Linked DNA regions of Astyanax mexicanus. The protein of the gene in region 1 binds, or shares a complex with, the protein of each later gene. Links are inferred from orthologs where the notes say so. Each region holds a gene or a part of one and is shown in the gene's direction. Other genes may lie near its edges. The genes, in order: sf3a1, sf3b3, sf3b4 and sf3a3.

What was found.
Region 2: sf3a1 (region 1) and sf3b3 share a complex: the UniProt entries of both Homo sapiens proteins name them as parts of the 17S U2 SnRNP complex. The link is inferred for Astyanax mexicanus from reciprocal best matches to the Homo sapiens genes SF3A1 and SF3B3.
Region 3: sf3a1 (region 1) and sf3b4 share a complex: the UniProt entries of both Homo sapiens proteins name them as parts of the 17S U2 SnRNP complex. The link is inferred for Astyanax mexicanus from reciprocal best matches to the Homo sapiens genes SF3A1 and SF3B4.
Region 4: the proteins of sf3a1 (region 1) and sf3a3 are in contact, whole or in part, in an NMR structure (PDB 2DT7), measured with the Homo sapiens proteins. The link is inferred for Astyanax mexicanus from reciprocal best matches to the Homo sapiens genes SF3A1 and SF3A3. Residues at the interface, in NP_005868.1 of Homo sapiens: Ala161, Phe162, Asp165, Val166, Leu169, Thr170, Phe173, Asn177, Phe181, Gln184, Leu185, Lys188, Phe195; in NP_006793.1 of Homo sapiens: Glu80, Phe81, Glu83, Phe84, Tyr85, Arg87, Leu88, Ile91, Lys92, His95.

The regions. Positions count from the first base shown.
Region 1 is NC_064419.1:31,893,468-31,901,112, forward strand, and holds the start of sf3a1 (splicing factor 3A subunit 1), read left to right. Parts: upstream 1-4,301; 5' UTR 4,302-4,525; coding exon 4,526-4,567; intron 4,568-5,686; coding exon 5,687-5,796; intron 5,797-6,049; coding exon 6,050-6,260; intron 6,261-6,393; coding exon 6,394-6,651; intron 6,652-6,821; coding exon 6,822-6,896; intron 6,897-7,115; coding exon 7,116-7,266; intron 7,267-7,645. Other genes in the region: ccdc157 (coiled-coil domain-containing protein 157), read right to left, coding at 110-286, 888-1,060, 1,726-1,803, 1,918-2,140, 2,439-2,879, 3,286-3,445, 3,904-4,151. UniProt on the Homo sapiens protein: Component of the 17S U2 SnRNP complex of the spliceosome, a large ribonucleoprotein complex that removes introns from transcribed pre-mRNAs.
Region 2 is NC_064416.1:23,362,728-23,370,626, reverse strand, and holds the start of sf3b3 (splicing factor 3B subunit 3), read left to right. Parts: upstream 1-4,460; 5' UTR 4,461-4,584; intron 4,585-5,157; 5' UTR 5,158-5,210; coding exon 5,211-5,280; intron 5,281-6,081; coding exon 6,082-6,237; intron 6,238-6,434; coding exon 6,435-6,605; intron 6,606-7,135; coding exon 7,136-7,308; intron 7,309-7,454; exon of another isoform or gene 7,455-7,536; intron 7,537-7,616; coding exon 7,617-7,758; intron 7,759-7,867; exon of another isoform or gene 7,868-7,899. UniProt on the Homo sapiens protein: Component of the 17S U2 SnRNP complex of the spliceosome, a large ribonucleoprotein complex that removes introns from transcribed pre-mRNAs.
Region 3 is NC_064410.1:32,706,754-32,714,688, forward strand, and holds the start of sf3b4 (splicing factor 3B subunit 4), read left to right. Parts: upstream 1-4,440; 5' UTR 4,441-4,505; coding exon 4,506-4,539; intron 4,540-5,160; coding exon 5,161-5,289; intron 5,290-6,341; coding exon 6,342-6,884; intron 6,885-7,278; coding exon 7,279-7,452; intron 7,453-7,588; coding exon 7,589-7,744; intron 7,745-7,924; coding exon 7,925-7,935. Other genes in the region: rab25a (ras-related protein Rab-25a), read right to left, coding at 203-283, 1,135-1,328, 2,272-2,467, 2,746-2,782. UniProt on the Homo sapiens protein: Component of the 17S U2 SnRNP complex of the spliceosome, a large ribonucleoprotein complex that removes introns from transcribed pre-mRNAs.
Region 4 is NC_064410.1:278,847-287,007, reverse strand, and holds the start of sf3a3 (splicing factor 3A subunit 3), read left to right. Parts: upstream 1-4,959; 5' UTR 4,960-5,087; coding exon 5,088-5,183; intron 5,184-5,716; coding exon 5,717-5,764; intron 5,765-5,868; coding exon 5,869-5,921; intron 5,922-6,011; coding exon 6,012-6,117; intron 6,118-6,227; coding exon 6,228-6,300; intron 6,301-6,625; coding exon 6,626-6,717; intron 6,718-6,803; coding exon 6,804-6,886; intron 6,887-7,124; coding exon 7,125-7,263; intron 7,264-7,830; coding exon 7,831-7,899; intron 7,900-8,161. UniProt on the Homo sapiens protein: Component of the 17S U2 SnRNP complex of the spliceosome, a large ribonucleoprotein complex that removes introns from transcribed pre-mRNAs.

The DNA.
Region 1 (7,645 bases):
ATAGATTATAGTCAGCAATTTTATCATTATATTACATTAATTCTAAATAAACCAAAATAGTAAAATAAAACAGTGTGTCTCTCTCCTGCATGTGTGTGTGTGTAAGTACCTTTTGCTTTGTGATCTGTTCCTGCAGTGTGTCTCTCTCCTGTGTGGTGTGTGTGAGTGTGTGTGTCAGCTCTGTCCTTTCGTCTTCACACTCTTCCAAACGAGTCTGCAGATCCTCACACTGCTGCACTAACGCATCCACACGCTCCAGCAGAGCATGCTGCTTTACCTGCATTGCCTATATCACACACACAAACATATACGCACACATTTTATCATTATCATTTTATATATGTGTATGTGGACAAAGTATTGGAACATACACTCATTCATTATTGCTTCTGAAAATGAAGGTATTACATACTGTCCAGGGAAGGCTTTACGCTAGTTTGTGGAGCATTACTGTGAGTATTTGACAGCATTCAGCATCAAGAGTGTTAATGAGTTCAGGATGGACCTCATTTCCCTAACTCATCCCAAAAGTACTGGATGGAGCACCATTGTTGCAGAGATCTCGGTTTCTGTACTCCACAGCACAAAGCTGGAAGCTTTATAACCTTCTAGCTCATGCCTGGCACTAGGCACAGTGTCAAAAGCTTCATGCTTATCTGCTCCGGAGAGTCCTATTCTATTGGCAGTACTTGTCGACAGAGACTAGACCAACTGTGTGCATGCATGTGCACATTTGTGTCAGCAATAGATGCAAATTAAAGTACATGAATGTTGACAGGTGTCCACAAACATTTGAACATATATTATGTATACCGTGTATACAACTGCATTTGAGTTCTTACAGTTCAGCTCTTTTGGCAAGAACTGTGTTACTGATAATTACACACCTCATGCTGACGTTGTGCACTGCGGTATTTGGCGCTCTCCTTGTCCAGCAGTGTTTGAATGTTACTGAGCTCCGTCTCTAACTCTCTCCTGCTCTCCTGATACTCTCTCTTCCTCTCCTCTTCCTGCAGATGCAGACGGTGCACCTCCTCCACCAGAGAATCCCTCTCACACTCTGCACAGAGAAACGGGTTGTTAACACATGGCCACATACACACAACACGCACAACACATTTAAAAGTCCTTTTAGCGTCCTTCACCATACTCACACATTAAACTGGTGCTCGAAAAAATATCCAGACATCTGTTATACCAATGTCTACACTTATGGAAAACTATTACATTAGATCTTTAACATTGTTGTGAGGAGGATGTGATTGCATTACTCAATTGCAAAAGTGATAATGTCAGTGAAGTCAAGTACAGAAGTTATATGATTAATACTGCCTCTTAAAAGTATTGGATTGAGCTCTATCACTCCAGAAAAATTCTGGGGAGATTTATACTCCTTTAGCTCCCTCAGTGTTGGGCATCGTGACCTTAGGGTTATGTGCTTAAAGCTATTATGAAGTGCCAGGTTCTGTTGACCACTGCTTTTCTATGGAGGTTCTGTTGTGTCTGGATACTTTTGGACATGTAGAGAACGTATACATACAATGTGTGTTGCTGGGGTGTTACTGCTAGATTAAGAGAATGTCCACCACCCAAAAATATCTAGTTACAAGTGGCTCTGCATTTAGAAACTGATAAGGCCTGTACACACTGCTCACAGGTGTGCTACAGCCTCTTCAAAGGGTTTCTGATAAAGTGGACAGTAAGTTGTACTCATTGTTTGCTTACGGAGACACTGCTGTGTTTCTCTTTGCAGCTCCAGCTCTCTGCTCAGCTCTGATACTCTTATTTCTAAAGCTTTTGCTCCTAAAAAAAAAGAAAGAAAATTACCTGCAGGTTTTGGTTGTAAAATAGATAGATAACTAGATAGATATTTTATTGAAAAATGACTGTAATTTATTTAAAATTTAGTGCTCTGACCTCTCTTTATCTCCTCTTGCTCCTCCTGTAGCTTCCTCTGCATCACCTCTCCTCTGGTCTTCAGCTCCTGCAGCTGGCGCTCCCACTCCTCTTCCCTGCTCATCCTCTCCTCTCTTTCTCTCTCTGCTCTCTCCTTCTCTTGCTCCAGCTGAGCCCTCAGCTTCCCTCTCTGCTCTTCTGCTTTTTTCAGTTTGTTTCTAAGTGAATCCACTGTTTCTTTCACCTCCAATTCAAAACAAACTGGTCACATTAGTATTTGTATTAACTTTCGATTAAGTTTCGATTAAGATAAATGAAAATTATGAATATAAACAAACAGTTAAGTCTAAAATTATCTAATTTAGTTTTAACACTGAAGCTACAAGGCTAATGAAACATGTTATTTGCTCCAACTAGAAAATCATAAGACATTTCAGAGGTGTGTTATATAAATGGAAAATAACAGAAAAGCAAGAATAGTAATAGTAACACATTTTATCTGTTGAACTGTGATTACTGTGACCAACACCTGATCACCTCACCTCAGTAATGTGTTGTTCAATGCGCCCCATATCTTTACGCTGCTCACATGCCCACTGAGCCAAGTCACTTGCAGTGAGACGCCCCAGCTGCTCCGTGTCCTCCACAGCCATCAGCAGGTGCTGCAGGAAGGAGTTCACACCCAGAGCCCGGCACAGAGACAAGCACGCCTCTGCACTCTCCTTCAGACTGGACTGAACGCGGGCACAGGCTGTACACGGCACCAGTGCAGACTCCACTGTCTGAACGCTCACACTGCGGGACTCAGAGGCAGGGGCAGGGGGAGCTGTCCTGCTGGGGCTGGAGGAGGCTGGGCGTTGGTTCTGTAGTTTGGAGGCTGGGGTGCTCAGGGCACTTCTAGCAGTGGATGAAGTGATGTCAGTTTGTGAGATGCTGTGCTGAGGAGCAGATGGAGAACGCTGGCTGTTTTTACTAGTTGTTCTCTAAAATAAAGAAAAAGAAACTCTGCTCATATTTGACATAAAACATTTAAATCATAAAATCAGATTTGCCCCAATATTGGAAACAATAATACTTTGTAGTAATAAGCTTTAATAAATGCAAACTTAACTTAACAATATCTGATTATTTGTTACTTACTTGCAGTGCTGTCATTGTTGTTACATAATTATACTTTGAATTCCCTTTAATTCCCTTTTAACCATAAAAAGCTCATTGATAACTTTTTATGAGTTAGTTATTATTAAGTAATTTTAATGTAATTAATAATGACATTATTTTAAATTATTATAAAAAAAATATATTAAACTGCGTATTACCACATGAAGTCAGCATGTTAGTTGGACCTGATGCACTATGTTAACAGTATATACACATTTCATATGTTACCCCTTGTTGCTGCTGGCTGCTAAGCCGGACGAGGTTGGTCCAATAGCGTTTCACCACTGGCCCGATGGACACCCCTTGCCCAGTTTTGCCAGAATGGCCTCTCTGATCTCCCATCATCATCTCTGTGTAGATGTTAAAACTCTGCAGCAGTAGCATCAGTCTGTAACAGACAAGTAAACACACACTTCTTAGACTTATTAAAACTTTTTAACACTTATTAAAAAGCTCAATAACATGGCATATTATAACATTCTGATTATGTGTTAGTGTGTTCAGCTTGGGTTGATTGCTTGTGATCATCCATCTTTCTTATGATTATATTCCAGAGATTTTCAATTTGGTAAAATCATCATTGGGAAATTTTAAGTGGTCTCTCTTTTTTTTCCAGAGGTGTATTTTAAATGATTGGCACAATAACACAAATCTAAGTGTACTCTATTTTAATTGAAATACCCACTAGCAAATAAATAGTGTAAAAAACGAAAAGGTGTGATTCATCACAAATTTCTATTGTTTTTCTTTTATTGATTATCTTCTTTTATTGAAATCACTAATTAATATAAATTGCATTATTTGATTTGCATTTTAAAAATGCATTACTGTCAGACGCCCACCTACCTGTCAATCACCAGCTCCAGCAAGACGATGTGTGAGTGCTGGTTGAACTCAGGCTCTCCCTCAGTATAGTCATATTCCTGCAGGAGCTGCACCAGGTCCACATTACACGATACCTTATCGGGGAATTTCCACGATGGAACGCGGACCGGCCCGGTTCGAGAAAACACGTCCAGAACCGCCGCCTGCAGGTCGATAACGTCCCTGCGGAGACTCTCCACGCAGTCCTGGCGTCCTAACAGATGCGTCATCCTCCCATTCAGCTTTCTGAAAGCGCAGAAACACTTTAAACTTCTTTATTTTTCAACAATACTGTGTGCTTCCTCTGTTTCCTCCGTCACCGTGGCTACCTGTAGTCCTAACGCCACTCTAAGAAACTACACTTCCCATAGTGACCCGCAGTCCGTGTCCCGGATGTGATCGTGTTTTTCTGCAGGCCGCCTACCCCGGTTTGATGGCGGAGTGCGCACGTTAATTATCGAAGGTTTTTTTGTTTTTAAACTCAATAAATGAGTGTTTCAGCTGAACAAAAGAGATCTGTGTGGTAAACAGGGTGGTATTGAGGACGGAAGGTTGTGTGTGAGTGTGATTTTCTCTAATCCCAGCCCAGTTTGAAGAGGCAGCCATGCCGCCTGTTCAGATCAGCCAGCCCGAGCCCAACAACAAGGTGAGCCAACAGCGACTTTACTGTTTGTATAGTGATTTTCCCATTAATTCCTTCATAGTTCTTTCGTTAGGTATTAATGTGTGTGAAAAGTAGTGCTTTGCCAGCTAACGTTAAGTCTAACTGTTTAGCTATCTAGGTTAATTAACGCTATAGACTTTAAGACTAACTTAGCTTTTACTTCGTTAGACAACTGTCTCATTTTTTATTGTGTTAAGTTTGAATTTGCTAATAAATAAAGTAATAATTATTGTTTATTTCTGTGTTTGGCTGCAGTTTGCTTTTAAATCTAAAAACAAGCGCAGAGAAATACTATTAAAGGCATAATATATGTTTATGTACTAACAGCTGACGTTGGTTTAGCTTTTCTAGCTAAGCATTTTAGCTATGTTAGCTAAACTAGCTAGCTAACGAACTAGTTTAGTCGGGACCAGGTAAAAAGCGGAATCCGGCGAAAACAGTGGATACGTTAGCTATTTAATGGGTATTTCGAGCTCTCTATTAGAGTAGTCACAAAATCAATGAAAGAGTTGTGTTTTACACGTTAGCTAATCATCTTATGTAGCGTTAACTTAGTTAAGTAACTAACAAGATTGGTACACCACGTTATTGCAGGATTCTACATTTGAATTGAATTGAATTGAAATGAATTGAAAATGTTTCTACTGTCAAGAGTATGTAGAATATAAAACGTTAATGCTTTGATTAGTATTGGATTTATAGTGTTAAGCCAAGAATTTAAATTATTAAACTGAATGACAATTCCCCTGGTTTTCCAGTTGAACAGATAAAACATTTAACATTTCGGTGTTTTAAAGTTTTAAAACGGGCTATACTGCAGTATACGTGCACCATGACTTTTTTTTAGGGTGTTCTATGTTACATAACCCGTCCTGTATAAACGATTCCACACCCAGGACCGATTGTGGGCTTGTCTGGGTGACGAGGACAATTTTTTTCCCAAGCTGTGGATCGATGTGCAATTCCAATTGTCCTTTTCTGATATTTATATAAACATAAACCATTCCAACACCTTTCTCTCTCTCTCTCTCTCTCTCTCTCTCTCTCTCTCTCTGTCTCATTCTCTATATAAATAATAATTTTTTTTCTTCTGTTTTGCAGGGCGATGAACAGAAAGATGAGACGCCGGCAACTAAGCCCATTGTGGGAATCATTTACCCACCACCTGAAGTCCGAAATATCGTTGACAAGACTGCGAGCTTCGTAGCCAGGTCTGGTGCACTGTCTGTTTCATATTATCTGATGTATTGTGCCATGGTTTTCACTTTACTTAATGCTTAAAATTTAAAGCCACTGAATCGGACAAGTTATTAAACAGATATGAGCCTTTTCCACACTGTACAGAGGTGCGACTACAAAGTATAATGAAAGGTTAACTTAACAAACACTTTTTGTGTAATATATGTATGCAGGTAAATTCTTCACAACATTGCTTGTACCTTACTGAACCCATGTCATCCACAGGAACGGCCCAGAGTTTGAAGCAAGGATTCGGCAGAATGAGATCAACAACCCAAAGTTTAATTTTCTCAACCCTAATGATCCTTACCATGCTTACTACCGCCACAAAGTTAATGAGTTCAAAGAAGGAAAAGGCCAGGAGCCATCGGCGGCGGTGCCTAAGGTTATGCAGCAACAGTCCCTGCAGCAATCCCAACAGCAGCTTCCACAGAAGGTAAGTTTCCAGCATCTGAATGTAGAGTATCCAATACTTTTCCTGTATTTATTTGTCTATAAAATCTTTATAACATGTAAAATTTTGTTTGTTCCAGTGTTGTAATTTTCCCTATTTGTCAATATTTCTTCAGGTCCAAGCCCAGGTGATCCATGAGACAATTGTGCCGAAGGAGCCTCCTCCAGAGTTTGAGTTCATCGCTGATCCTCCCTCCATCTCAGCCTTTGACCTAGATGTTGTGAAGCTGACAGCTCAGTTTGTCGCCCGCAATGGCCGTCAGTTTCTCACACAGCTGATGCAGAAAGAACAGAGGAACTACCAGTTTGACTTTTTGAGGCCTCAGCACAGCCTCTTCAACTATTTCACCAAACTGGTGGAACAGTACACAAAGGTAGATTGATGAGACCATCTGTAATAACTCTAAGTTTTCAAATGGTTGTAAGTTTTGTTGTAACTTTTAAAAATGTTCTAAATGAATGAATTTTGTTTGTGTATTGTTTAATTGTGAAGTGTTTTGTGCTCACTCTGAGGTTTGTGTGTGTTTTTTTTTTTTAAATAAAGGTTTTGATTCCTCCAAAAGGACTTCTGCAGAAACTCAAAAGGGAGGCTGAGAATCCACGGGAGGTTCTGGATCAGGTAAGACTTATTCATTCCATAAAATCTAATCTCCGATAAACAAGATGTCACAATACATATTGTGTAGAGGCAAGAAAAAAATGGTATTCAGGAGTTATTTTTGAAGAATAATGATATTTTAATGACACACTGTTTATTTCTGTTTAAATTGTTGTTCTTGCACATAGAGTACACCATGAAGGCCTTACTGATTTATAATATTTGCTTCTGTTGTTTCAGGTGCGGTACAGGGTGGAATGGGCCAAGTTCCAGGAGCGAGAAAGGAAGAAAGAGGAAGAGGAGAGAGAGAGAGAGCGTGTGGCTTATGCTCAGATTGACTGGCATGACTTTGTTGTTGTGGAGACAGTTGACTTCCAGCCCAATGAGCAAGGTAAATGTGTCCAGATTAAGTGAATAAACTAGATTAACTGAAGCAGTTTCAGGTACACTGTATGTACTGTAAATAAGACATTTTACAGTCAGTTAACTGTAGCAGTGTACACAGAAAATGCAAATGTCAAAGGATAGGAACTAGTGTTGTGTCCCATAAATTTTGCTGTGGCCCATGGAACCTGAATAAAGACTACATACCCTGGTATAACTAAACTAATAAAAAAATAAATTAAATAAAAAAGCCAATACTGGTACTAAATGAACAGTTCATATACTGCTATCAAATGACTTTTGGTATGTTATTGTAGGCCTGGACAATAATTCGATATCGGTATTTATCGCGATAAGAAATGTTTCAATAACGGTGATATCACTTT
Region 2 (7,899 bases), on another chromosome or scaffold:
GTTATGACAATAAAGCAATAAAGAAGCAATAAAGAAATAAAAGAATTGAGAAGTAAAAAAAAGAAAATGCAAGTAAGAAAAAGAAAGAGAGAAAGAGAGAGAGAGAGAGAGAGAGAGAGAGAGAGAGAGAGAGAGAGAGAGAGAGAGAGAGAAAGACCTCCACTTTCAGCAGCAGCAGCAGCACCATGCAAATCTCCACTATCCTGTGCTGCAGCCCCGCTGTCTCTTAGCAACGCTGGCACACCGGCGGGAGTTCAGGGCCCGAGACCCCCACATAAATTACACAGGGGGGATACAAAGAGCAGAGGATAGAGTGGGCTTCATGCAGCAGCACTGCAGACAGCCTGGACACAGCAACCCTCTGATAATGACCATATCAGTGATCATGAAGAAGAATATCAGGCATGTCAGGAACATCTTCCTCAGGTTCATCCTCTGAATCAGCGCATTTATACACACAGCACTCACACAGAGAGAAAGAGGGGGTCAGTTTATGAGAATCCGGTCCCTTACCTTCGTGTCTGGGATGCAAAACTCTTCTTCTCCTCCTTCTTCTCGTTTCTTCAAACACAGCTTTGAGCTGCTGCTGGGCTCAGCCTGGAAATCACAGCCCCTGCTCCTCCTCCTCTCCCATCAGTCCTGAATCGCTCCAGTCCTCCAGTCTGAAGCGGCAGATAAAGAAAGACTCAGCTGCTGCCATATGAATAATAATATTCTTCACATGGATCCTCAGCTGGTAGGCGAGGTTTCATGTCCAGCCTGGTCCTGCTCGCCCTGTCCAGATGTGATGGGAATGTGCTGTCCTGTCTGTTTTGCAGCTCTGACAAGCTAAGGCTAAGTGTGTGTATGTGTATATGTGTGTATATATGTGTGTGTCGGCCTCTAGCTAATTCAACGTGGAGAAAATAGTCCCTGAATCTCTCAGACAGCACTGCTTTCACAGCACCCCCGAAAAAGATACCCTCAGCCTGCATTCCCCAAACTTACCGAGGGGGCTGCTGGGAAATGTAGTTCTGAGCCACTCACTGCACCACCAATGTTGACGAACTCTCTATTAAATCAAAAGCCGATTCAATATAATGCGCCCTGAAATAGCTTTAATTTTACAATTCGAGAGCAATGTAACTCAGAAGTGTTTTTCATACCAAACCAGCGCGGAGGCATACACTGTTTTGAAACGACAAATCCCATAATGCCCTACGAACAACGGAGGGTCTTCATTGAAGACCACTGAGCTCTGTGATAGGGCACTGATTTGTCTCACGACGCGGTTTTCAGCGTGTCATTGCACGCATTCACGTTTACACGCATTTAGACACATTTAGAATGCAACACAATTACCTGTAAGCTGGCAAAAGAAGGCAAAAGTGTTGTAAAGGTAAAGATTGTGGGAAACTGGGAATTCCTCACATCTATCTCCTTTTGGACAGGCTTGAGTTAGAGCTCCAGGGTTTCGCCAGCTAACTGAATAAAGAGAGCACGCTGGCTATTCAGGACATAGCGAGCAGATTGATTACAGCGGGCTAATAGCTCTGAATGTAAAAACTGAATCTGCTTTTTCGTTGTTCTGGACATGTTTTGATAGAAAAAATCGCCTCATAGTCGTGTAACTGGTAACATAATCAGCACAGCTCATTTTCCACTGTGGGCTGGACAGGCCGAGGCTAGCCTAAACTGATTTCTCGGTCGCTTGATTTCCATCACCCTCCTCCAATCTCCACATTGAAATTCCATTAAACAGCAGGGAGAGTTTACATATGCAATGGCGCCATCGCGTGGACGAGGGTCTCCTGTTCTATAACTATTTTTATTGGGTAACCTCATACTATATGTGAGTACATCTATGGTCTATGGTTAATTTTGAATAATAAATGAAGTAAGAACATAGAAAACAAGAACTATAATTAACTATGACAATACAACTGTATTAAAGGCATAGTATTGTAGGGCAATTAACCACAGCATTACGCAGATAAAACTCTGATTTAAAAAAATATCCCAGAATTTAAAAAGATGACCATTGAGTCAAAGTTTAGAATTTAAAATATATTAAAGTTTACTGTAAAAAATAGTTTCAGAGTTTCAGCATTACAGATATAAAGAATAAACATAGATAAATAGGTACATTAGAAAAGAGTAAAAGTACATCAACGAGTCAACACATAGTATAATTATATCTCAATAGGTCAGCACATTCATAACCCAGAGAAAGAAGGAAAAAAGGAAAGAGAAAGCCAGGCGAGGGAGTGAAGACCCTTGGGCGTCTCCTCCCCTAACCCAACACAGACTTCATCCAAGCAGTTATACGTGTTTGCAAATTGCATGTTAATCAATAGGGTCCAATAAAATTGGATAGAATCTATCAATATCCCTACGTCAGCAGTGTCCAGTTAACAGCTTGTTTTCCAGTTCCTATGACATGATCAGTTCCAGCCTGTCTGGGCAACACGTTCTTATCATGGTGTTGCTCAGCTTTGTGTTGTCTCCTAGTTTATATACACTGGTCTCAGAACAGCAGTGAAGCTTCTCTGCCACTCAGGGTCATGTTCTCCTCACAGCTCTCATTGTTGATGAAAACACTCTGACCTGATTCCTGGAAAAGTACAAACAACCTCCAGAGCCTTGTCTCATTGTGACAGTTAAAAAGAGAGCAAAGTTTATAAAGCAAATTTATTAAGTAAACAATAAAATAATATATGTATATATACATGTATAAAACATTTAAGAATAAGAGTGTGAATGTGTGGTCACACCTTTCAGTTTGTATAATATTTATAGTCTTTTTTTGTGTTTGAATTCTGAGGTAAATGGCTTTTCATCTTATATAATTTACTAAACCATTTCAATAGGAACAAACTAAAGGGTATGAAACAATGTCCCTTCAAAAGAGAGACCATTCAGTTTTTCCATTATTGTTTTTTTGATGGTTCAGAAAAAATAATTCTCAGTTGGAGAGCTAGATGGATCAAGTTTAAGTAACGGCATGCAGTGGTTCATATTCTCATTTAGCATTAAAGTTACAAGTGAAATTTTAATTAAAAAAAACTAGTCAATTTTATTATGAGTTACAGCATAAGTATAATATAAATCCATTATTTAAACCATGCATATACTAGCACTTATTTTGGTGTGTTAAGTGTTCACACATTCAAAAGTCTGCCATGCTCACAGCCAGCCTAAAAAAGTAAAAAAAAAAAATCTATTTATTCTATTATTCTATAAGGTATAAGTAAAACTGTGTAATTTAACAAAATGAACAGCATCAAATTAGATGTTGGGACAGTATGGAAAATGCCATGTTCTCTCATTTACTTTTTATTTTAGCATGACAATATGACAAGCAGTATGAACCCAATATATTTAATGTTTTATCTGGTCACCTTTATTTCATTTCTATATACATCCATTCCTGCATTTCATGCCTAGGAAGAAGAAACCTTATTTAATAATGTGATTTAAAACAGGTGATGTGAACAGATCATATGTGTAAAAATAATTGAAATGTTTGAAAATTATTTTTAATAAAGCCTAAGCTGAAGGCTAATTCACAAATGCCCCATATAATTATACTGTGCTACACAGAAAACTTATGTTATTAGGCACATTTATTTAATCTTTCAAAAAATATGAGTAATTTCCATATTTTACAGGTAAAAAATGAAAGGGCTCAATGCACTCTGCATGGTCAGTAGTAACACTTATTTTTCTCACAGTACCACAGCTTGTTAACACATTTGCAGTGTTTAGATGATTTGACCCATGTTTGCACAGTAAACCACAGTAACAAACAACAAGTACAGGAATGAAACATGTAGTGAGCAATGTTAGCAATGGTATGAAGCAGGGTGTAATTAGTATACAAAGATAAACAGGACAAGCTATGGACTAAGAAAAAAGACTCAGCTTTTTGGTGAGAAATTGCTACTAGTACTCTCAGTGTTCAGTGATCTGTGGGAACTGCTGAAGGAGAGAGGTTTTAAAAAAGGGTTGTGTCAATGGGGAGAAGAAACTGAATTAATTTCCAAATTTGGACACACCTTCTCATTTAAAGTTTTTCTTTACTTCTTTATTTAATTTATTTTCTACATTGTAGAGTAACATTAAATCTATCAAACGAATTAAGGGACACATATGGAATTGCGTAGTAAACAAAAAAAAGTATAAAACATATTCTGGTTTGTTTCACATGTTTTGTTTACAACAAAATCCTGTATAGCGTATGTCTTAAATATTACATTTACAATGTAAAGAATAATTTAAAAACAAAAATATATATTTAAAGAGAAAAGGTGTGTCCAAGCCTTTGACTGATACTTTATATGTGGCTAATTGTTTTATTAATTAATTTATTATTTTTTAAGGATTTTTAAAGCATTTTTTGTCTTTTAAATAAATCTGAAATATGAATTTTGTAAGGCTTGTAGCGGGCTGGACTTTTCAGCAGGCAAATGGCAGGGCGACTATGACACAGGGCTAACAGCAGGAAGGACCCCCGTCGTTCGAGCGGCGTTTGAACACAAAACGCCGAACGAACAAAAAGTTTCTCATCGGGTGAAAATCTGCACCATCCTGCCTGCTGAAACGGTAAAACCCTGGCATACACCGCCAGCGCCAGTTAAACGGCGATATTATAGCCATATATGTGTCATGATGCGGTTTAATATCAAGTTATCTCAGAATTCTGCGTTAGCTTCACTTGCTAGCAGAGGCTGAGCGGGTAACCGGGGTTTCAGGCTGTTATTAACAGCGCGGAGTTTAATAATACTGCAGTATAAAGACACGTTAACCTAATATACGTGCAGTTTTTACGTGTTGTGGGTATTTTATGGGTAAAGTATATACATTTAGTTTAATAAACCAACATTCTGACTAGCGGCTAAGCGAGCTAACCCATTCATTTGAGGTGGTTTAGCTAGCTAATGCTAGCAAGCTTGTAGTTTACATAGATAACTAGCTAGCCAGCTGTGCCCCTAGTAACAGTAGGTTAGCTACTTTTAGTTTATTTTTTTTAAACCTGATCAATTAGGCACGTTAGGTAGATTACATCTGGAGAAAAACAAGACTTTATTAGCTTTCAAAATTTCTCTGTTTGCAGCCCAGAACGTGTGCACTGCTTTCTTCTGTTGATCTCACATGAGGCCTCTTTCTGGGTTTCAGGTGCAGCAGTAACTTTCTTCATCCAAGCCTGAGGGGGCCCAGAGACATCCACCATGTTTCTGTACAACCTGACATTACAACGTGCCACTGGCATCACTCATGCCATCCATGGGAACTTTTCAGGTATACGGTCTTCGTTTTTCCATGTTAAATATGTGATTTGTAATGTTTAACTCTAGAGGTGTAGCCCTGCCCCCACAGGCTTGCATTGTGGGCACTAGACCTGATGGGTGTCTCTCTCTTACCTTAATGTGCACCTCACTCTGGAAAAGGGGGAAATCTGGATTCATCAGACCACATGGCCTTTTTCTGTTGCTCCAGAGTCTTTGCCAGTTAACCTCACTGATGAGTGGTTACACAGTTTAATCCTAATCCCTTGAGTTTCCTTCACATTGTGCATGTAGAAATGCTCTTACTTTCACTAATAAACATATCCCTGAGTTCTAGTAAATATTTAATGGGAGGCACTTACCATTTGCTTATTAAAAAAAAGACTGTACTGGTATGTTAAGATGTTGATCTTATTAATTGAGAGAGTTTGAGACCCCCATTTCTGTCTTTTTTTTTTTTTTTGTTTTTATTGATTTTTAGGTTTTTAAAACTTCTTTTAAAGCAAACATTTTTTTTTTAAATGTACCAAGAATTTGAAAAATGGGAAGTTTCTATATAATTACATTTAGCAATGGTAAAAAAAAAAAAAACTAAGGAACTTTTTCAAACTACTAGGGGTACATATTTTATAATTGGAAATAAATGCCCTTTATCAAATAAATAACCTTTAAATCCTTAATTTAATGTAACTGTTCACCTGTAGTTTAGTTTAATAGTTTCTCCAGAAGGGGGTGGAAGTAGCACTGTTAGCTTAAGCAAATCCACATCAAACACTTTGCTTGCAATTAACTGTATGACGTTCTTTGTCTCTAGGTACGAAACTGCAAGAGATTGTGGTTTCCCGGGGAAAGATTCTAGAGCTGCTGCGTCCTGATGCCAACACAGGCAAGGTTCACACATTGCTCACCATGGAGGTGTTTGGCATCGTCCGCTCCCTCATGGCCTTCAGGCTCACTGGTGGCACGAAAGGTTAGTGTGAATGTTGAAACTGAGTTAGTTTGTTTACAGTTCAATATAATTTTGGGTAAACCAGCCGTAAGATCTTGTTAAAGTTGCTTGCGAAACTAAATGTAAAATTACTGATCAGGTAAATTGCTGATGTGTGGTTTATTCAATGTAATAAAAAAAAATGGTTTGTTTATTGGACTGTGTCTCTTAATTTTAAGACTACATCGTGGTGGGAAGTGACTCGGGACGTATTGTTATCCTGGAGTACCATCCTTCAAAGAACATGTTTGAAAAGGTGCACCAGGAGACTTTTGGCAAGAGCGGATGTAGACGCATCGTTCCCGGGCAATTCCTGGCTGTGGACCCTAAAGGCAGAGCTGTAATGATAGGTAAAATTCTGGTTCTTTGCTAAGTGTTTTATATTTAAGGTGGTTGTTTTATCTGTCTTGGGTTTGAAGAAGCCCTGTGGCATTGTTAGTATGTACACTAACAGCTAGTCTAACACTGCACTTTTGATGCACTTTGATATAAGCTCAAACTAAGGGATAAAGGCCACAACACTGTCTTAAACATGCTTTTTAAATGTGATTGGAAAATACAATGCTACAGAAAGTGTGGATTGCAAGTACCTTGTAAATTTATGTATTTCAGGCTCACTTAAGATATCACTCCTGATTCACATGTTATTATCTGTGAGCAGTTTAATTGTGTGAAACAAAACATTGAGGATAGAAGGATTCCACTTAAGTTTAGATTTGTGCAAAGTTTGACTTATATTAATGTATAGATTATGTGCTGCAATTTTGATTTCATAACTATTTACACTTCAAGGTCATTGCATTGTGAATCACCATTTCTCTTTACGAGCAGTGAATGGAATGTTCATGCGTCTGAGTTGTATTGTTTATCATCCCCACAGGTGCCATAGAGAAGCAGAAGTTGGTGTATATCTTGAACAGAGATGCTGCAGCTCGTCTCACCATCTCCTCTCCGTTGGAAGCACACAAGGCCAACACCCTGGTCTACCATGTGGTTGGGGTGGATGTGGGCTTTGAGAACCCCATGTTTGCCTGCCTTGAGATGGACTATGAGGTAAGATGACTACTACTACTTGAGGACTTAACTTTTTGTGGTGTGATTCTCTTCACGCTTCTGTTTTTGAGGACTTGTTAATGTACGCACTGGCGTAGGAATAAAGATCACCTGTATGTGTGTTTTCAAAGGTAGATCTGTGGTGTTTTATTGAAATGATGAGTTTGTTCATGTCTCTTCTCTGACCAATTACTGGAGAGAATGTAAAAAAAACCTCTGATCACTGAAAGTACACAGTATTGTCAACTGCATAAAACATGAAGCGTTCTTCTCATTACTGTTTTGTACTGCACCCTTGTCTTGTTTAGGAAGCTGATAATGACCCCACAGGAGAGGCAGCAGCCAACACACAGCAGACTCTGACCTTCTATGAGCTTGACCTGGGACTCAACCATGTTGTGCGCAAGTACAGTGAGGCTCTAGAAGAACATGGCAACTTCCTCATCACAGGTAATTCATGATATGACCCCCTTCCCCCTTTCCTTAGTCTCCTGGTTTCATGACTGGTTCAGAAAACACTTTTCTGATTTCTGGTTGAGTGTGTGTCACTTCTGGTAGTGATGTTGAAATGATGAATATCTTCATGTCTCT
Region 3 (7,935 bases), on another chromosome or scaffold:
AAACCTTTAGTCTAATTTTTTAATCTGGAGTACTTTGAATGTAATTGGTTATGGTTATGGTTGTATATTTAATTATTAAACAATTTTGAATGAGTGCAGAGAGATATATTTTTACTTTACAGCAGCTACATATGATGCTAATTACATTATTCACTCTAAACTAGTCAAAACCTTCATATTAAGCAGTACTAGATAACCCCACCTGTTAGAACCTGAAGGAAGGCATTTTCCACATTGGTTGATTCGAGTGCTGACGTCTCCATAAACAGCAGGTCTTTACTCTCTGCATTAAAAGAAACACCTCAAATTAGTCTACAATTATTTCCTGTCATATAAGTACTTCACAAATCTGATATATGTTAGTACTTAGTACTGTGATTTTTTTTATGTCCACTATGAATTATTCTGCATCTTTAATAAACAATTTATTATTCACTATAAATGATCTTCTATGATTTATTCACTATCCACTATGAATTATTATTGCAATAATATGTATTACATTGAATATTTATAATAGATTACAAATTATCCAGTATCCAAAGTGAAGTATTCAGCATCTACTATAAATTATGTAGTGCCCTTTATTAATTGTTCAGTATTATTTAGTAAATAACATGAAATGTTAAATATGTTAAATACAGATCTGGAAAAAATAAGAGATCACTTCAGTTTCTAAATCAGTTTCTCTGATTGTGCTATTTATAGGTTTATGTTTGAGTAAAATGAACATTGTTGTTTTATTCTATAAACTAAGGATTCATGCATCTTAGCATGTTCTCCTCCACCAGTCTTACACACTGCTTTTTGATAACTTTATGCCACTCCTGGTGCAAAAATTCAAGCAGTTCAGTTTGGTTTGATGGCTTGTGATCATCCATATTCTCTTGATTATATTACAGAGATTTTCAATTTGGTAAAATCTAAAAAAAATCATAATTTTTAAGGGGTCTCTTATTTTTTCCAGAGCTGTACATCACTATTGTATAGCTCTGAAAAAACCTTGTATCTCTCACAGACACTTTGTAAAAAAGGGAACTGTGCAATATCTATATTTCCTCTATTGCAAATACATGTATATACGCAATCAAAATAGCTATGCTTTGTTTTCTATAGAACTGAGAGTTTATTCACCTGCAAAACTTTTAGCTTCTTCTGTTGGAATGGTGCGCTGCATATCCAGGTCACTCTTGTTGCCCACCAGCATGACCACCATGTGTGGATCTGCATGGTCATATAGTTCCTTTAGCCATCGCTCTACATACTCGTATGTGAGGTGCTTGGTAATGTCGTAAACCAGGAGTGCCCCCACTGCTCCCCTGTAATACCTATACATACAAAATATTACAGCTTTACACCTACGCTAAAGCATGTGGTGCTGGAGCAGAAATAAATAAAGTGTCTTGCTTGTGAGACCACAATAGATTACTACCAAAGAGCCTGTTCAGATCTTAATTCCAGGTAACTAAATCATAGTGTAAAGTTATTTAGTCTTATGATGCATTATGATAGAGAAAACGTACAACTAAAGACCCAGTGGTAGATTACTACCTATAGTACCTATAGTGTCACTGCTGTAAAACTATGTTAGACTACTGTGCAACATGTTAGATTACCAAAGACCTGGTGTTATTACTGAGAAATAACATGTTAGATTACTGAGAACCTATAGTTATTGCTGTAAACCTACGGTATATTACTAAGAACCTAGAGTTGGATTACTGGAGATAAAATGTTACATGTTAAATTACTGAGGACCTAGTGTTTTGGAGATCTAGATTATTACTGAGTTTTAATGTCAGTCCCTTTATAGCCTAATGTAGGTTAAATTGTTATTAATGCCAGGACAGCAAGTACAAATATATAAATGGTATTTACGTAAAAAAAGATTGTGTAGACTTTATTGTGTAGTGTTTATACTCTTTATGAATACATGTTTGCAAGTGTGTATTTTTTGGGTAATATACTGACAAACTGTCAGGAATTATTTGCAAATGAAATGTTTACAGTCATTATATCACAAGCAATATTGCAATGCTGGGCATTCAATCTAGATAAAGAGATAAATGAATGAATGAATGAATGAATAATGTTATTATGTTATAAGAGTTTGGACCTGTTGGCATGTTTGCAGTTAGTTAGTTACATTTTTAGTTAATAAAACATATTTTTTGTACACACAGTTTGCTTCAGAGATTGCTTAGACAGTCCAATTTATTTATTTTCTAAGATTGAGAGGAAATGTGCCTTTTGTGACCGTTGTGTACTTACGCTGATGTGATGGCCCGGTACCGCTCCAGCCCAGCTGTGTCCCAAATCTGTGCTTTGATGGTCACTGTGTCCAGCTGAATAGTACGCGTACTGAATTCCACTCCAATGGTGGTGCGACTGTCATGATTAAACTCATTTTTGGTGAATCTGGACAGCAGATTGCTCTTTCCCACCCCAGATTCCCCAATTAACACCACTAAAGAGTGAGAGAGAGAAAGAAGAAATTAATTATAAAAACAATATTTATGGATAATCACAATTGCAATTTCTTTAAACTGAAAAGTGTTCAAATGTAGCATTTATTTTAAAGACAATAAAAGAAAATCCAAAAGAGGAAAACCCCATCCCTTAGGTAATAATAGTAAACTAAACATAAACCCAAAATAAACTAACAAAACAAATCTTTAAACTAAAAGCAGTGATGCAGTTCTGGATAAAATATTTAGAGTTCAAGCTCAGAATCAGCTGTCTTACCTTTAAAAACAAAGTTGTAGCCTAAATCTGTCCCCATTTGTACTATTCACAGTAAACTAATGTTAGTTATCAGTGCCTGTAAATGTATAGAATCTCCAGGCTGGTTAAACCATCAGTTTTCTGGTCACAGGTTATATTCCATACTAGCAGTGGCTTCCTTGAGTTCCAAAACTTAGATAGTGGAGCAGCTGGAGAAACAGGTTAAACCAGCCGCCACACAATGTCTATGGGAGTGACAAAATCACATCCATTCAGCCCTTGCTCTGTTTTTATCAGTACATGTAGGTGTGTCCTCAGACTGTATAATTACCCACTGAAAAGTTAGAGGTACACTAGGTTCATCACAATATTGAACATAAATATTAATTGTATAATGTAATTCACCACAGGTTGATGCACATGCAAATCTAGATGTTTCTATAAACTGCATTGCAGTCTACAGAGAAGTGAGAACTATTTATTTATTTTGTGTAGATTTTTTTTAGCCAAGGGGGCTAAGGTTGTAATAGAGGGCTCTAGAGGTAAGTTGTGAATTATGAAACTGACATAAAATTAAAAACAATTCTATAAAGAGACACTTTTGACCAAAGTTGGCATTTGGTAAAAAAAAAAATATCTGTCCACTAATAAAAGGTTCAGATCAAGCTAAGATACAAGCAATAGTATTTGCAATCACAGGTCAAATGTGAATTTGTTCTTATTTTTTTATTACCTTGAAGGCTGATTTTTTTTTTTTTGAGTGTGTCTTTCGAAAAAAAAAAAAAAACTTTGACAGTGCAGTTGCTCAGTTAAAAGCATGGTTACTATTACTGTCACATGCTCTTTGGATGTGGACTGCTTTAGCACTGGATCTAATGAGGGTGTAAGAAAAATCTTTAGGGCAGGTTTGGCCTCTAAACTGCTGCCATTTACTCTGGCTATGTAATCTCAGTGTTTACTGTGTGTGTTTGCTTGGTAGTGTGTATGAGTGTGTTTACTGATTGTTATATATAAAGGCCACATTCCCAGACTTCCCAAGTTGCAAAAATTTATTTCAGGAAGGTACCCCCGGACCTGGACTTGGAACATATACATATATAGTCGTATTTACTCACCTCAACATGCCTATCATTTAGTCCCCTGTGGGCAATGCTAATGCATTCCATCTGTGTTACAGTTTCATTTACACAGGCAAAATACTAATTTAATAAACTTTGATTTAAGTAAAAGTAACTATATTTAGCCCTTTGAACCAAAGCTTGAGACATCAAAAAAAATGAAATATATATATATATATATATATATATATATATATATATATATATATATATATATATATATATATATATATATATATAACTGTATATAAACAAATATATGTGTCTTTTTTATTATAATAAAAATGCTGTATTTTTTCCTAGCAGGCAATATAATAATATAATTAGCTGCTTAAAAAGAAATAATTTTACGAAATGGCAGATTTTACTAATGTGCATTGTGTATAATAAAATATAAACTTAATTCTCACTGTTTGCAGCAGCCATGTTTATTGCAGCACTGTAAAAATATTATATTTATTAAAGCTTTTGTTTACTAAAATTTATTTTTGTGTATGTCTGTCAGAAAGTCCTGTTCGTGTGGTGAAACTATTTATTGTAATTATATTTAGTAAATTATTTTAAAACGATGAACATCTATAAAGTAAAAGGACTTTTAAACGTGTTAGCAGCGGAAGAGGATCACCCGCAAACTTCCGTTTTTCCGCCAGCGCGTCGTTCATCATGGCGGCGGGTCCGATATCAGAAAGAAACCAGGGTAAGAAAATGAATAAAAAACTCTTACTGATGTTAGAGATCTTATTAAATATCGGTCTGAATGTGTTTTAATAGATACAGGACACGCGTTCTTTACTGACTGCTGGGTTCTGTCTCTGAGTGATGATCACACTCTCGGAGCTCGTGCTCTTTATGTCACAGTGCAGCTCTTTACTCACTCTTAAACAGACTAACGTTAACCAGGTAAAGTTGTATACTGTAAAGTATACTGATGAGAATGGAAATAAAAATAAATAGAAATGGAAATGTGTAACTCTGTGGTTATATAGCCATACGGGTTCTGGTTTATTTTATTAACCGCTAGATCTGCTGGATGGTTCTCGGGAAAGCTTAGCAGTTCATTCATTGATTCTTCGCTAAAGCTAGCTAATGCTAACGCTGTGTTTTGTTTCCGTGCAAACTATTTAACGTTAGTTAAATATTTAACTTAGCAAACAAATGATCAGATTTTTTTGGGTTATTTGATTTGTCTCTTCAGTGCATTACTTTAAAATAGAACTTCTGAAAGAAGCCAGTTTAAGCTCATAGTTACAATCCATTCATTAATGTAAATAATATATTTTTTCTAAACAAGTGGTTTTCCTGTTTTTTGTTGTCATAGATGCTACGGTATATGTAGGCGGTCTGGATGAAAAGGTTTCGGAGCCGCTGTTGTGGGAACTCTTCCTGCAAGCTGGACCAGTGGTCAACACACACATGCCCAAAGACAGAGTCACAGGGCAACATCAGGGTGAGTACAGCACTCTGACACACAGCTTGTGGGTTGCACAAAAAATGTCAAACACTACACCAGACTGATGCGTGGCTGCCAAAAAATTGATTATGTAGTAAATAATTAGTGGTAGGTGGTATTTTAATCACTCCCAAAAGAAATTGCTGCTTAACAGGGCACAGTAAGCAGCAAACAGACTAGGTTTTTCTTTTACGAATTGTATTACTGCCATATTGTCTATATATGTTTTACAGCTGTAGAAGTAATTCACCCAAGTGTCAGCACATTAATTTAATTATATGGTTGTCTTTTGGGAAAGTTGTACTTGAACATTACAATTTAACTACATTAAAAAGCATGTTTATTGCTTCAAGTCAAAATATATTCTTTACAAAGACAGTGACATATTAACCATGTATTGCATTATTATAATGATTTATGTGCATTTTTATAATTATTAATTATATTAGTATATGAGTGTATTGCAGTGAGTGATTTAAGGAGCTCCACACTGCTCCACTCCAAAATGCTTAATGCTGGTGCATTCTCATTGTCTTATTCATTATTCTCTCTCTTTTTTTTTTTTTTTTTTTTTGCTTTGTGCCTAATAAATTATAAAATATCTGCATTCCTATTATTGTGAACTTCTTTCACAACCATCCCAAACTGAAAGGCATCTGTCCAAAACTTGAATGTATTTGTGTAATTTTCTACAGCCATGTCATCAGTTGTTTGAAATTTATTAACAGTACGCCTCTCCTGGTGTTACCAACAAGCTGATTGGTTCTATGTTGAAAGGTGTGACTTTATCTATAAATCTGTTCTAAGCTTTAGGAAAACTTCCAGTCATATTTCAACCAGCAAGTGGTCTCCCGATTAACTGTTTATAACCATTTATAAAGTGCAAACATTTGCTCTCCTGAATAATTTTTAGTGCCATCCTGTGCACTATTTTTTGGAAGGTGTTGTTCTGGAGCTAATATTCATGTGTGGTCTAACCACACATTTAACCTGCATATGCAAATGATGTCAAACTTGTTCATTTACATGTTCTGTGATATATTCAATAGGTTATGGCTTTGTGGAGTTCCTCAGTGAGGAAGATGCTGATTATGCCATAAAGATCATGAACATGATCAAGCTGTATGGTAAACCAATACGAGTCAACAAAGCTTCAGCACACAACAAGAACTTAGACGTGGGTGCCAACATCTTCATCGGGAACTTGGACCCCGAAATCGACGAGAAGCTGCTTTATGATACTTTCAGTGCTTTCGGCGTCATCCTTCAGACACCCAAGATTATGCGTGACCCGGACACAGGCAACTCCAAGGGTTACGCTTTTATCAACTTTGCCAGTTTTGATGCCTCTGATGCTGCAATTGAAGCCATGAATGGCCAGTACCTCTGTAATCGACCCATCACAGTCTCTTACGCCTTTAAGAAGGATTCCAAAGGTGAGAGGCACGGCTCAGCAGCCGAGCGTCTCCTGGCTGCACAGAACCCTCTCTCGCAGGCTGATAGGCCACATCAGCTGTTTGCAGATGCCCCGCCCCCTCCCACTGCACCTACGCCTGTAATGACCACACTGGGAGCAGCCATTCCCATTCCAGGTCAGTTATTACTTGGATTTCTAATATATATTTTTCTTAATTTATGAACAAATGAGTTATGTGATACAAATTGCAGCACTGCACCTTGGGTTCGGTGTAATGGGTATAAAAGGTATGGAGGGTGGGGATGGTAGGGCAAGAATGAGAAAATGGGAAATAGAGATATCGGTGGGAGTGGGTGTGTATGGATTGATGTTTGACTTATCAGTAGAAATTCTGTAAAGGATTTCAGTGGAAAAAAAAATAATAATAATAATTCTGATCTGATCCTGTAACATCTTTATGTTAAGCACACACCTGCACTGATACAGGGATGTTGTGGGGATTAAAAACCTTATGAAAGTAGATCTGATTGTTTGTTCTCTTTCTCTAACTCCTTATTTAACTCATGCAGGCATGCCTCCTCCTGGCGCATTCCCCCCTGTGCCACCCCCAGGCTCAATGCCACCTGGAATGCCCCCTGGCATGCCCATGCCCCTTGCTCCAGGGACACCTTCCCCTCAGGGCGGTGCTACAGGACCTCCCCCAGGACCACCGCCCTTCCCACCTGCTGGAATGCACCCTCCAGGTAAAAGCACCATTTATAAACTTTGCTTTACTAGGCGAGACTTTTATTCAACTACTCGCGTTTTTATTTTAGGATGTATATGTTTCTGTTCACTGCTGTGTTTGAAATCTTGTATTAATGACCTTTATTTTGGCAGGTATGCCACCTATGCCAATGCCCCCTACTGGACCACCAGGTATGGTGCCACCACCCCCTGGCCCCCCTGGTACCACTCGGGCACCGCCTCCACCAGGCATGCCTCCTCCTCCACAGATGGGCATGCCCCCCAGAGGACCATTTGGACCACCCATGGGTATGTTTAAAGTCATGAAAAAAAAATTATTTTATAGTTTTTTTTTTTTTTTTTAATGTTGGTCTGTGTCAGCAGTAAATCACGAATTCAGTATTGGAAAATAAAGTCTTCTCAAGCCTGATTGGATGAGCCATTGTTCAATTTCTAAACACTACCAATTTTTTTCTCCCCTGTTTGCAGGTCCCCCTATG
Region 4 (8,161 bases), on another chromosome or scaffold:
TTATTGGATGATACCAATCACATCATTTCATCATTTCAGCACAATCAGTCCAGTCAGATTTCAACTCTGATAAAGGGGAAAGGACAGGATGTCTTTATTATCATTCCAGGCAAAATTAGTGATGTATCGTTCATTGTAAGGGCTTCTGTAATACTCTCAGTACTAAGCTTGGAGTGATGAACTCTCAAGAGTAGTATCCAGTTAAAATGTTAAAATGTTAAAAGTCTTTACTCTGCTTCACAAGAAGACATGTTAGTTGTACACATTCTACAAATAAGTGCTCGGACAACAAGGGAAAATATTAGGACCATTAAAGTTGACGCATGCAATCAGTACAACACAACACACAAAATCAATGTGTAAAACACAGTCTGTGCAGCTTAAAGTGTCTGGGTTACTTTCTTGCGTAAAGTAAGTTTCCACCTTTATCCTTCCCTTTTAAAATATGACTGGATCTGTTCTTAGGATTGACTTGCTATTAGCGCACTGGTTTTGCTGTATCTGTGGAGTATATTGACATTCGTCAGTAGATTTTAAGTTTGTATTTTTATATTTTGATGCTATATTAAATTATCAATAACTGGTTGTTTTTCTAAAGGATTGATCTGATTCTGTTCATCGTCTCTGAGTGAAACCATTTAACCTACTACAGTGTTTTGTGATAAAGTTCAGGGTTTATTCAGTATAATTCAGCACTAGAGGTAATGAGTGCTGCTCTCTGAATGCTGCTGGTGGTGAGCTGGAGTGTATTTTGTAATTCAGAACCAGGCTGCTCACTGATCCTGGAGCTGAACGCAGTGTTCCAACATCTACGTGCAAAGCCTTCCCAGAACTCAGAGTCTGTTACTGCTGCAAACGGGGCCAAACTCCTTTTTAATGCCCTTGATTTCAGAAAAAGAGGGAGTGAGCACATGTCTTCACACTATTGCACTAGTATTACAATACTATAACACAATGGTGCCTCCTTTCATGTTTTCCTCTCAGGGGAGCTGTTCAGAAAAGGGGGTTTGGGGGAGAAGCATCGTTTCATTCAAGGCAGAAATTTCCACAGAGGACATTATCGATTCTGGTTATCACATCACACCACTGTAATGCGGCGTCACCCGTAACAGCTTTGTTTGGGTTCTCTGGGGAAATGCTAAAATCCCCTGGAAATGACAAGATAGCAAAAAGGAATCATTGTTCATTTGTTCATTTTTCCATCTCTAATTCATTTAAACAAAGCTGATCTCACGTCTGTATTGATTTATTTTTGCGCACATCAGTTTTAAGCTGATACAGCATTGTTTCAACATTGTTTTAACATTATCGTTTTACTATATGTACTGTTTATAATAAACAGCATTTGCTTAAATCAAGTATGTTTGTATTATATAGTTCTTACAGCCTAAACTGTGCTCTTATATTGTAAAAAAAAGATGACATTTGAGGAGAGAACCTTTTGTCTAAAAGCATAATGGATTCAGAGAACCAACCATTGAAAGCCTTTAACTAAATAAACATTGGTTCAATGTCAGTTTTTTTTTTCAAGATGCCTGTGAGGTAATGTTCGATAAAGGTTGTTTTAAGGTTGTTTTTCCACCAAACGTGGAAAACATTAAAAAAATATAAAAACATGATGAAAGAAAACAATGTCTGTCTGATGTTATTTGCTGTCAGGCTTCAGCTCATGGCAATACTGTGAGTGTATAAAGTCTGGAACATTGTTAAGTGAACGTTGATTCAACGTCAGAATGTCAGCATTAACCGATGCCTGTGAGGCAATGACGAATAAAGGTTGTTTCAATGTAGTTTTTCTTCATTAAACTTTAAAATGATGTAATGATGATGTAATGTGACCAAAGAAAACAACGTTTGTTCAACGTTCTTTGCTGTCAGGGTTCAGCTCGTGGTTATACTGTGTGTGTAAACAGAAAGGAATCCATGACCAGTGTGAAATCCTGTGTCGCAGGGGACAAAACTCTCACACACACACACACACACACACACACACAATATAAAAACTATACACACACCTTCTCCCCGACATGTGGGTGTGATCGAATCTTCCTGATATCTTTTGTTGTGTGTTTATGTTTATGTGTTTTATGTGTGTGTGTTTGTGTGTGTGTGTGTATTTGTTATTATGTGTTTATGGATCTGTGTCGGTTGTTTAGCTGAACTCCGCTAACAGCTCTTCAGCCCCGCGGGTCTCCGGTACGCGGCCCGCCCCGCGGATTAAACACAACCCGCGGCTCACCTCACCGGATACAACCGGGAGCCACCTCGACCACCGGGGCCGGTCACCGCCGCTTTCTGCCGCCAACACCGATAACACGCAGATAATGTGTGGTTTTTGTTAGCTAATGCTAACCTAACTAACACACCTAACTCCGCGGACACCGAGCCGCAGCCGAACACCAGCGGCGTAGTTTCGCTATTTAACGGCCATAAAACCACAACAACCGCCCGCAGCCCTCCCCCACCGAGTCCCGCGGCTCCAACACCGAGCCCCGCGGCTCCCCCTCCACAGCCAGCCCAAACCCGCTCACCTGTCCGCCGCGCAGGGGCTGAGAGAGACGCGCTGGAGGGTCGGGCCGGGTCGGGCTGGGTTTTTCCGCGCGGAGAGACACTGAAGCTCGGCGGCGCTGCGCTCTCTGTCCCGCTCTCCTTCTCCTCCCACTACCGCTACTGCTGATCACCGACACACAACCGAGCGCGCGGTGAGACAGTGTGTGTGTGAGAGAGAGAGAGAGGGAGAGAGAGAGAGAGGGAGAGAGAGAGAGAGAGAGAGAGAGAGAGAGAGAGAGAGAGAGAGAGAGTGTGCGTGTGTGTAAGAGAAAGAAAGAGAGAGAAAGAATAAGAGAAAGAGAAGAGCTATAAAGAGAGAGAGAGAGATTAAGAAAAATGGAGATATATAAATAGAGAGATAAAGAGAGAGGGATATATAACGAGAGAGAGATAAAGAGAGAGAAATAGGGTAACATAAACAAAGAAAGATAAAGAGAGAGAGAAAAAAAGAAAGAGGGTGATATAAAAAGAGAGAGAAGGAAAGAAAGAGAAAAAGAGAAAGAGGGTGATATAAAGAGAGAGAAGGAAGGAAAGAGAAAACGAGAAAGAGGGTGATATAAAGAGAGAGAAGGAAATAAAGAGAAAAAGAGAAAGATAAAGTTGTTATTTTTTTAATTAATCATTTAGTCATGCCAATGAAGCTTCTTTGAATTGAATTGAATTAAAGAGAAATTAAGAGATATAAAGAGAGAGTGAGATAAGATAAATAAAGAGAATATTTTCACTAGTTTATCTATAGTTTATGGTCACAGCTCGATGTTAACCCAGATCCTGAAGCTGGAGTATTTCCAGTTGGTCTGTTCAGTTTATTTTATTAGTGTTTGAAATGTAAACTATTATAAGGCAGACAGGTTTTAACAGCTGAGCCTCCCCTTAAATCTGATCTGTTTTCCTATCTTTTCCTAATATCCTGCTCTTCCTCCTGGGATTTGTTGCAACATGTTGAAAAGTGCTTAACTGAGCGAAGTGCCTTCCTCCCTCTGTGATCTTTCTCACTCAGGAATTATGGGATTATTCTGCTTTCAGGTGGTTCTGTTTTTATCAGAAAAATGAGATTCACACCAGCAAGCTCTCAACATGAAAACTAGCAGTATTTAAATGCTTTTGAGATAACATTTAAAACTGACTTTGGTTCTGATTGGTTGTCCTGTATTGTGCCTACCTGTATAAAAAAGTTATTAAAAGTCCAAATAAAATTTTCTTTTATTAGTTTAGTGTGTTGGGCCAAACCACCATAGGTTGAGCATTTTCCCACACATTAGTGTTAGCTTGTGCTGAATGGCAAAACACTTAACTGAGAGAAGCACAAAAGTCATTATTTGAAAGTAATTACATCCCCCTCATCTGCTGACTTGCCGGACAGTAGGTACAGATCCCTCCCTCAGACGAAGTCTGCTGGCTAATACTGCGGTGTTCTGTCTGAGGTTCTCAACCAGCAGACCGAAATGGCATTTCTTTAACTGATCCAGTGGGCGGGGTTCTGGTGGGGGTTGATGGGTGAGGGGTGGAACCAGGGTGGTTTTATGCAGGTTTGGGAGGCTTTCAAACGGCTCATAAAAGGATATGAATTTTGCTCAAAAAAGATTGAACTAATTATTTTCCGCATATTATATCTTTAATCGTTCAATAGATTCAAAAGTTATACATGCAATTTTATGTATTTGTGGTATGTGTTCTAATTTAACTAAAGTGTCATCTCAAACCTTTCATACATGTGTTTATTTCCAGTCTCAGGCTGTTTGAAGGCCAAGCATGAAAAAATATAAAGTGGGAGTGGCTAAATGTAAAAACAAAAACAGATAGGATATGAGAAAGCTTTCCAACATTGTGTCATCATTGACAACAGTTTACCAGGTCTTGTACACACACAGTTTATCTCACTATCACGGGCAGCTAGAGGGCACCACATCACACTTCATCATGTTACTTCAGCTGTAAGAGAACCGTATCCAGCACTGCATCCAATTTACTCTACTATAAAGGGCAAAATTTAATGTATGCACAAAAATATAACGGATTGAAATCTAAAAAAAGGTTTTAAATTTTTCTTATTCAACGGTTCTGTAAAATACTTTGCTGCTTTCTTATAGTCCTTTCCTGCATTGAGGGTATTAATTAGTTGGTAAAAACCTATCTACAGATAAACACATATCACTGTATACTATACATAATATTTATAACAAATATGTGAGAAATATGGATTAGAATCTATCAGATAAAAAAGGCAGTGTAATGAAAAATAAAACAATGTGCAAGAGGTACAGATATCAGCAGACAATGAGAATGTTTATTACTGAATAAACATGGGCATATATAGGTATTTAGTACTTTTGTGTTGTGTTTTTGCGGCGCGGCGGAGGCGGAACGTTTCGGTCGGTTTACCGGCGGGAGTGAGTGAGCGGCGGACCGGGACCGGGGGTCGTGTCGTTACACGCGCGTCCGCTAGTTTAGCCGGTTTCAGTAGCAGCGCTGCGCTCAGTCCGGTAACAGCCCACAGTCCGCCGGTAAATCCCGGGATTCGGGCGATTTATTTAATCATGGAGACGATTTTAGAGCAGCAGCGCCGCTACCATGAGGAGCTGGAGCGACTGATGGACGCTAAAACTAAGGAGATGCTGCACAAGAAAACCACGGTAATTACAGCTAACCGGCTATCTGTGCTAACGGTGCTAATGCTAATCCTCTGTGTGTTTGAATGGAGAAGAGTAGCTACTTGCTAATTAGCTCCAGCTAACCTAGCCTTAGCATGCTAACAGAGCTCACTCAGGAGATGTCTGTGTAAAATAAAGTATATTTCAGTGTAAAATCTGATCAACTGAGGAAAATAAACAGCACTAGTTTGGATATTTAACTTTTATAGACATTTGAATTCTATATGTTTAACGTAATTGTCGTTAGTTTGTAGTTTTTTTGGTGCTAGCTAAGCGAAGCTAGCAAAATATCCATCTATCGTTAGTTAGCTTAGTGTAGCTTTATAAACACATCAGTTATTGTTCTGATTCAAGAATTTATTAAGATTTAGGATTCAAGATTTTTATTGTCAAGTCACAGAGAACATGTGTACAGGCAAAGAACAATATTTACAACAGAGTAGAATAATAAAACAAAAGTAAAATATACTGTAAACTTAAACTTGTTTATCTGTTTATTTATTCATCTCTTTCAGTTGCGTGACCAGATTAATTCCGACCATCGAATACGAGCAATGCTGGACGTAAGTTTCTTTTACTTCTGTATTATTAAAACCTATGCCTACATTTATTTATATCATTTATTTATATCTATATGCATGTCTGCTCTTGTTTTCTTTACACACAGAGACATATGGAAGTAAGCGGAAACCTGAGAGACTCCTACGATGATAAAGATGGGTAAGAACTGCTTGTTTTTCTCTGACTGCAGTTTATTTCACTGATACTAAACAGTGTTGTTCATCATAACTTGTAATTACGTCTTGTTAGTATGCGGAAGGAAGAGCTGAGCGCGATATCTGGACCAAATGAGTTTGCTGAATTCTATAACCGACTGAAACAGATCAAGGAATTTCACAGGAAACATCCTAATGAGGTACTGCAGTCTATCTTTTAAATTTAAATAAAATTACATGATTGCTGTACATTATCTTAGGGTGTGAATTACAGTTTAAAACCTTTTTACACATTTCTTTAATTTCACAGATTTGTGTGCCCATGTCGGTGGAGTTTGAGGAGCTGGTGAAGGCCAGAGATAACCCCAGTGAGGAAGCTCAAAGTAAGTAAATATTAACATTGCTTCTGTAAAACTTGCTGTGTTTATATTTATTACTCTAAATCACAGTAACTATTCTGACAGTACAAAGGATATAGTCAATATTTCTGCATTAGTAACTACATGAGTCATAAAGACACATTTAAAACACACAGAGAGTGTGTACTTTAAAGAATGAATAAAGAAAATGAATAAGAAGTCGCACTGTACCTCTGTAAACCATTAAGAAACATTATTATATATTTATGTATGTATGGGCGCATGTATCCTTTAACCAGCCCGAATCACGGCTTATGTTTTAACATCACTGTGTTTCTGTGTTGTGCAGATCTGGTGGAGTTCACTGATGAAGAAGGCTACGGACGCTATTTAGATCTTCATGACTGTTATTTGAAATACATCAACCTGAAAGGAGCTGAGGTATGATTTTCACTTTTTCTGTTTTTAACAGATATATATTATCTGTTTGTTTGCTAATGTGATGTTTTCCTCTGTTCCTGTTTTAGAAATTGGAGTATATCTCCTACTTGTCTTCGTTTGATCAGCTTTTTGACATCTCCAAAGATAGAAAGAATGCAGAGTACAAAAAGTAAGTCGAATTTCACATGGGAACATTGTGACCATATGTTGTGTCGTATATTACAGTGTTTATTTTATTTAATAGATTATAGATGGCTATTATTACATTGAACAATACTAATAAATGTTTATATGTGTATGTGTATTTATTTTATATACTGTATACAGTGGATGTCTTTAAATTTAAGACCATTTCTACCTGTAAGCAGTGGAGGTATCCTGTACTGAGCTTGTTTTGTGTTGGTCAGGTATCTGGAGATGCTGCTGGAGTACCTGCAGGATTACACAGACCGGGTGAAGCCTCTGCTGGATCAGAATGAGCTGTATGGAAAAGTTCTGGTTGAGTTTGAGAAGAAGTGGGAGAACGGAACCTTCCCGGGCTGGCCGGTGGGTTTATTTTTATAATGTGTTTGTTATAATAAAAAAAGTTTAATTCCACAGTAATTTAAGGTTAAAATTAAATTAACCCGAAACACAACAACATCTCATCATGAGTTTACAGCGTTACAGCAAATATTATCTGCTATTATTTGGGATTCTTATTTTTGGCGAAACAGACAGTTCAGAACCAGCAGGTCTCCTGTTCTGAGATCAGAGCGCTGATAAACAGCTGCAGATTGAATAATTACTACTGAATTAAACACAGATTTTTAGAGCAGACACGCCCACTCTAACCTCAACTGACCAATCAGCTTCTTTAAACAAAAAATATATATGTATATATATTTTTTTCTTTATCCATATCGCCCAGTCCTATACCAAATCATAAAAGAACATGTCAGATTTTGTCAAAGGAAAATGAGATAAAATGATTGAATGAGTTAGTGGAGTGAATAGATGCAGTACTGAGTAATGCTATGCTATGAAGCCGGAAGCCCAGTGAACCAGTTTGTGTAAATGTAAAGGAATAAGATTATATAGTTAGTTGTTTATTTGCGTCTCTGTGTGAAACAGAAAGAAGCGAGCAGCGCTCTGACCCACGCTGGAGCTCATCTGGACCTCTCTGCTTTCTCCTCCTGGGAGGTAAGACTTTCCATCAGGAACGCACACAGCTTTAATAGCTTTAATAGTTCATTGCCCCCTGAGGACTTTCATGAAGTGATCTTTAATGTTATCGCCCAGGATTAAACCAAAACGTTAAAGTACCAACTATTATTACCTATACAGGATCTAATACAGGTTATTGTGAATGATGAAGTTCCACAGGGTTCAGTTGTAGGATCTATAAAACTGTAAGGAAATGAAGTGTGAAAGTGAAGCTTAAATACAAGGTTAACCAGGTTAA